2 linked regions of the Schizosaccharomyces pombe genome follow. Changing the gene in region 2 together with the main gene of any one other region gives a genetic interaction. Each region holds a gene or a part of one and is shown on either strand. Other genes may lie near its edges.

What was found. Genes that interact genetically often act in the same process or in processes that back each other up.
Region 1: of res1 (region 2) and whi5, a mutation in one rescues a mutant of the other (synthetic rescue), as found in Schizosaccharomyces pombe (2 studies listed by BioGRID, with this or other methods).

What each region holds. Positions count from the first base shown.
Region 1 is NC_003423.3:251,182-254,640, forward strand, and holds whi5 (cell cycle transcriptional repressor Whi5), read left to right. Parts: upstream 1-1,784; 5' UTR 1,785-1,966; coding exon 1,967-2,050; intron 2,051-2,128; coding exon 2,129-2,803; downstream 2,804-3,459. Other genes in the region: GTP-binding protein Bms1, read left to right, coding at 1-1,318. UniProt on the Schizosaccharomyces pombe protein: Has a role in meiosis.
Region 2 is NC_003423.3:1,230,724-1,234,479, reverse strand, and holds the start of res1 (MBF transcription factor complex subunit Res1), read right to left. Parts: upstream 1,895-3,756; 5' UTR 1,146-1,894; coding exon 920-1,145; intron 793-919; coding exon 1-792. Other genes in the region: orotate phosphoribosyltransferase Ura5, read right to left, coding at 2,754-3,401; acetylglutamate synthase Arg6, read right to left, coding at 3,687-3,756. UniProt on the Schizosaccharomyces pombe protein: Acts as a positive regulator of the mitotic cell cycle and as a negative regulator of sexual differentiation. May be involved in the transcriptional regulation of the cdc22 and cdt1 genes. Is an integral component of the DSC1-like complex.

The DNA.
Region 1 (3,459 bases), 980 kb from region 2:
AGACGTTGACTGGTATACGGAAGAAAAGGAAAAAATTGCACGTCAGCTTGTTATAAATCGAGAAGCTTTTGAGGATATGGATCCTGAAAGTCGAGCTGAAATCGAAGGCTATAGAGCAGGCACTTATGTACGTATCGTAATAAACGACGTTCCGTTTGAATTTGTTGAGCACTTTGATTCTCGCTATCCCGTAGTTGTTGGTGGATTACTACCTAATGAGCAACGGTATGGATTAGTTCAAGTTCGTATTAAGCGTCACCGTTGGCACAAAAAAATACTTAAAACGAATGATCCTCTGATTTTTAGTATGGGTTGGAGAAGATTTCAGTCGATACCTGTATATTCAATTAGTGACTCGCGTACTCGAAATAGGATGTTGAAATATACTCCAGAACACATGCATTGTTTCGGTACCTTTTATGGACCCTTCGTCGCTCCCAACAGCGGTTTTTGTGCGGTCCAATCTGTAGCCAATTCGTTCGCAAAGGCGGGTAGCTTCCGAATTGCAGCTACGGGCTCAGTATTGAATATCGATCAATCGACCGATATTGTTAAAAAATTAAAATTGACTGGTGTTCCCTACAAAATATTTAAAAACACAGCATTTATTAAGAAAATGTTTAGTAGTCCTTTAGAAGTTGCAAAATTTGAAGGTGCCAATATCAGGACTGTTTCAGGGATTCGAGGTCAGGTTAAAAAGGCAGTTGATCAGGAACATGGACATTTCCGTGCTACATTTGAAGACAAAATTTTAATGAGTGACATTGTATTTTTGCGGGCATGGTATCCGGTACAAGTGCGAAAATTCTGTACAATGGTCACCAATTTACTTGAGACGGATAAAACGGAATGGAACGGTATGCGGTTAACAGGAGAAGTTCGGCATGAATTGGGATTGAAAACTCCTTTACGACCCAATTCTCAGTACCAGGAGATTGTTCGACCCTCTCGACATTTTAATCCTCTCAAAGTGCCTGCCTCGCTTCAAGCTCAGCTTCCATTTAATTCTCGTCAAAAAGCCTTACGTCCTAGAAGCAAACCGACGTACATGCAAAAACGTACAGTTTTGTTGAATGCAGAAGAACGGAAGGTAAGGGATTTGCTTCAAAAAGTAATGACTTTGCACACGGACAAGGAAGCGAAACGTAAAGCAAAGAAAGCAGCAGAACATGAGCGGTATCATAAAAGGATGCAAAAAGAGGAGCAAGCATATATTGAGAAGAAGCGGGAAGAAAAAGCTGAATGGTTTGCTCAACATGGGAAGAGATTGAGACAGGATGGTAATTCTTCTGGTTCAGGGAAAAGATCAAAAAATTAGATTTTTAAAAATGCGTATTCTTTCTGTTTTATTGAGTTTGTACTGGTGCGTCATAGACGAACTTTTACAACTACATATACATTTTGGGAATTTAATGGGTTTAATATTTTATAAATAAAATGTGTTTATTATTTTCTGTGTACAGTTTGCATTTGAGCTTTGTCTCTCTTGTGAATGATTTGTATCAACTATAAGGTCATGTAACCAAATAATTGGGAGAATATATCTATGTTTCTGAATGCAATTTTTTTGGTCTATTTGCAACTTCTCATCGACGAAAACGGTGTTTACAAAAAGACAAAGGTACCAAGTAAATTGCATATAACCGACATCAGTATATTCATGTAACTTTGGCTGATAATCTTATGTTTTTATTGTTTGTATGGTAGAGTGTTTTGTTACTTGATAATTCTGGTGTTCTGCCTGTTGCTTTTTTCAATCGTTTGTACGGGCAGGCGCGACTTTCGACTTACCAACACATCGTTCAACGCGTCTTGTTTCAATTGAAACAATTATATGCTATACGGAGGATTATTTGATTGCAATTGGATATTATAAAAGGAATTTATCGAAAGGAGAATTCGAATAGGCTAATAACTCGTCATTTTTATATACCTGCATACAGACGAACTCAACAAATATTAATTCATGGCAGGCGGCCACAAGAAAAATGAAGCTACAAGGCAGACTGATGAAGTTATTCAACAAAAATACGATGAATCATTAAGCAAGGTATGTCAATTACGCAAACACAATTAGGTAACATCTCGACGATACAAATAGAATCGTCGATGAATAATTTTGGTTTAGCATAAAAATCGTTGCGAATTGTCATTAACTTTTGAATACAAGTTATCAAACAAACTTAGGGCTCGTTTGAAGGCAGCGTTTTTTAAGGTCGATCATGGATGGGAAGATCAGACATTAGATCAAGTGGAAACGCTTGTTCGTAAGGAAAATCACGTTCATCGTAGATCACGCTCGATCAATGACTTGGACTCTTCTAAGCTAAGAAGGCCGCATCACCCCAACTCAATTATGGGATCGAATACAGGCAAGCTGCGTGCAAGTTCATTTACGCGATTGGTGAGCCCAAGAGAGGGCTTCGCTCAGCTTCCTTATAAGAAGCCTGTATCTCCTTACTCATCTTCTAGTGCTGTTTCTTCTACGTCCTCGTCTTTTGATAGAACTAGTCCTCCTTGGTTGAACTACGTTGAGCCTCATACTGAGCTACCCAGACTGCCATTTGAACTTAGCCATGCCTCCACTGCTTCAGCTAAATCTCCACTGTTCGGAATGAATTACCATATTTCACGCCCTGAAGAAACCGATGAGTCTCTTCGCCTTGGCACTGCAAACCTCAGTAGAATTCGCAAGTCCACGAGTCTTCCTTTTCCAACGGCTTATCCCCTATCGGCAGATGATTGCAAGGCAGCTGAAGTTATGCTTACGTTGGTGAATTCTATGCCTTCGAAAAAACCATAACATCCTTCATTTTAGATGGTATACGAGCATTAAGATATAAAATTACATAATTATTTCATGAGAGTTAATCTATAATTTGGATGAATAGATTGATTGTTCACATCCTGCTGAAGAATTTTTGGAAAAATCTCGTTTGAGAAGTTTTGTTATTTCTTGCTATCCGTCTCCAGTCCTATGGTTGATGAGCTATTAACCCTCTATATGTTTAAATGCTTGATATGTACAAGCCAAATTGTGATAATGCTTAATGATGTTTATGACAAAGGGTGAATGTTTCCGGGCGTACAACAGTCTTAAAGATCATAGAAACATTATTTACCATGTATTTATTAACGTTCTTCCTACATCTTGATCCTTATGATTTGAAATGATTATTATATAAGATAATGGAAATTCGCGAACTCGCAAAATTATGCATTCATTTCGAAGTATGGCTCGAGACAAAGCTATTTTTAAGTTTCTAAGAAAATAAAATAAATAAATAAATAAAAATAAGACCCTCCCATGAGCCTCATTACAAACTCTATTTTTTCTCAATCTCCATACGTTCAGGATCAATCTTCTATTTAAAGCCTTACTAAACGTCTTAATTACTTACATTTTTATTCTTTACCAAACAAACTCCTTTGTTAGCATGGTTGAGATTATATTCTCTC
Region 2 (3,756 bases):
CAGTTAAATTTTGCAATAAGATATCCATATAATAACGAGCGGCTTCCATCTTTGATTTAGAAGAAGCTAATAATGCGATGTGGTGAAAGACGGTTTGGCCAAAAGAGTCGTTCATGCAGATAGCAGATTGAAGCAACTCCGAAACTACCTCAAAAGTCTGTAAATCATAGTTCATGGTAAACATTACACAGCGCATCAAAGATGTTTGTTGAAGGTAATTGACAGCAACTACGTTGGCGCCTGCTTGCAATAGTGCATGCATCATTTCCAAATTTCCCATTGCAGCAGCCCAATGAAGTGCTGTATGACCATCCTCATCAATGCCAGCATTAACATCCCAATCTGATGGCCGATCATATACGAAATCAGGAGGTTGTGTAGTATTTGGTAATAAAAAGTAATCCAAGAGAGACTGCGCATAATTGTTTGAAGAAAACGGAGAAGCTTTGATATCGTGCAAAGATCCCGTAAAGGAATCAGAAGGCATATCGGGAGAGCGCGTGAAATCAGATTGAAGAGACAAAGCATCATGGATTCCTGACATTCTAGAAGTAGATGTCATATTATTGGAAGATGTGTAAGGGTAGAGTAAAGAATGCGAAGGCCGGGAAAATGACTTTTTTACTGGACTGTTTCGTCGATATGCTTCTGTAGGCTTACGATTGCTCTGAGGAGTGAACGTAGACATTGGCATGAACGCAGAGCCAGAGTATTCAATCAGAGGTTGTATTAAATCAAAAACATTATATTCATGAGCAAGTTCAACAGCTCTTTCAGAGGGTACCCAAGTTCCTGAATGAATAGTTAGTAACAGGCATCCAAAAAAGTATAAATTGATAAATAAAAACAACAGAGACAAAAATTTTATGTTATTTAAGTAGTTTTAAACCTATTGATATAGTAAGAAGTTAACACAAACCTTGATATTTTCCACAACCACCTTGAATTTTTTCATGAAGTCCCTTTTGAGCGAATTTCTCCAGAATCCTTGTCCTCCTGGGTTTATCGAGCTCTGCAATTTTAAGGATTTGCGTGGCATTAAGCCAGTTATCATGACAACGTTTCATTAAAGGAAAGCCATTGATCGTATACTCAAATACTTCCACTCCTGAATAGGTGATTTTATGTATTTGGTCGTTATACATAACGGCACTATTGGCAAGCAATTTAAAAAAAAGGAAGGAAGGAAGAGCTTCAAAACTTGATGCAATAACAACGTTTCGTCTCTCTAAATGTTTGTAATAATTTAATGTCTCAACTCCACAGCGCCAGCTATTAATATCATATAAAAAAAAAAACGAAGCAAATGAGAAAGAAGAAGCAAATTGAAATTTCCTCTACAAAATATCGATAGTTTTTGAAAACCGAGTATTTATAGCAGATAAAGTCGGAAATACATATGATACTAACTGCATGCACTAAAGAAAGGATATATTCTCTCAGCGGCGTTTGCCTCAAAGATTTTTTCAATTAAAAAGTATTTAACTCTATGTTTTGAGTTAAAAACAGATGTTTTTAAAGACCTCTGCTATCCCTAAAAATCCACGTATCTTACCAGCTGATGTAAGATACTCAACTACCAAGAACTTTAATATGTAAGGACAGAAACCTTTCGAAACTTTCCAGATCACGATTTGTATAATTTAAATCAAAAAGCTGTAGATTTGGGTTTATCGACTACGGAGCCGATTTAGTCCGGATTTTTTCAACAGCGAGATCTCAGAAAAATCGAAAAACACTGCTTCTTACTCACCAAAAAAATCCCTAAAATCACAGTAAAGTGCTTCAGGAAATGCGGATCCTTTTTTTGATAAAAAGGAAATTTGCTTGCTTTTTTAAGATCTCACACAAACAGAACTAAATCTTTCACCCTCTCTTATGGTGAGTTAGTGGTAAACGATAAATACTTGAAGGTTACATATTAGTAACTCAATTATTGTACCATTCGATTCCACTATGTTAAACCAATTGTATTACATAAATGATAAAGAATTTCATTGTTCAACTCGAGTTTTTCTAATAAACCATTTTTATTTATAGACTGCAGTGACTACTTATTCAAATTCACATTGAATATGAGAATAAAAACATTCCAAAATTTCTTAACATTTTCTTGTCATAATAAAAAGTTAATCACCAGGCTTCTGTTTAAAGGTTTTACCATTATTTAATATTTGGTATTTCAAACACAGAGCATAAATACCCGTCGCAGAATTGAAAAATAAAATCCTAAATTTTTTATAATTGCCCATTATATGCGTCTTTCGAACGTAAATAATCATCACTAAAAACCAAATCCTACAAATTTTTACAAAAATAATACACAAATACCATTTTGTGAAACATTAATTATCCCTCAACTCAATATTTTGGTAGCTTCATTCCTAACTGTCATCTTGGAAAGATTCGAATAACACAAAAGAAGAAACAAACACAAAAAAAACAGATTCACGGAACTAATCAAAAGATAGATGGATATGTGCAAAACAAAAGCTTAACAAGTAAACCAATTTCCTTCGTCTATTATAGAGAAATTTTTGAATACCGCTAAATGCAATCGCTTTATAGAAAATTCCTTCTAATATGAGTTGTATCTATCACCACAAATATACAGATAAAAAAATTCTATAACATATGTAAATACCAACTAACTTCACTCTCTTTAAAAAAGCAAAGCTAAAAACCAAAAAAGATACTTATCCAATTATTCTCTTTCCTCCTTCCAAATTTTTAAAAGAAACATTACCATAAGCTCATTTGGCTTGGTACTGCTGTCTGTAAGCATCCATTGCCTTTGATTCAGCTGCAGTTAAGTCTGATTTGGTAAAGTCAACAATGTCGTCCAAAGTAAGGATGGAGGAAACGGGTAAGTTAAGCTCCTTCTTCAATCTACCAATGGTACTTTCGTTTACTTCGGGGTCCAGTCGCTCTTGGCGGTCAAGCAAAAGGACGATACCAGCCAATTTTACGTGCTTAGGTTCTAAGAAGGAAATTGCTTCACGAATGGCAGTTCCAGCGGTAATAACATCATCCAAAAGTAAAACCTTTTTACCTTCCATTTCGGCGCCTACAAGGTTACCTCCTTCACCATGGGACTTGGCCTCTTTGCGGTTATAGGCAAATCCATAGCTCTTTCCAGTTTTTTCATAAAGTTTGACGGCCGTTATAGCAGCCAAAGAGATACCCTTATAAGCAGGACCAAATATGACATCAAAATCAACGTTCATAGCGATAATAGTCTCGGCATAGGCTTCTGCAAGAGCGCATAAATCGGCACCATGAGTGAAATTACCAGAATTGAAGAAGTATGGAGATTTTCTGCCTGATTTTAAGGTGAAAGTTCCAAACTTCAAAACATTATGTTCTAAGGCACGACGCAACAACTCAAGTTTATAAGACATGTTTACTACTAGTTTTGTTGATAAACGTTGATACTCACAAAAGAAAAAAGCTAGTATCACCTTTTCTAAGCTCTACATGGGGGTTATGTGGGGGAATAAACAAAAATCATAACTAAAGAAAAATGCAAGTTTGTAGGCAAACTACTCAATCTATAATCTAATGTGCAAAAGAGAATTAATGTCCTATCAAAATGGACTTTTTTCCTTTTATTAAAAAGTTTGACAAGTGCTTTTGAAGAAGCGAAATAATCTTGTCTCTGATAAAGTGCAATCGTTAACTTCCACTCAATTCAACCATGTTGGCTGAATTTTATCAATAACGCTCATATACTGGTTCACTCGATCCAAATTTCTG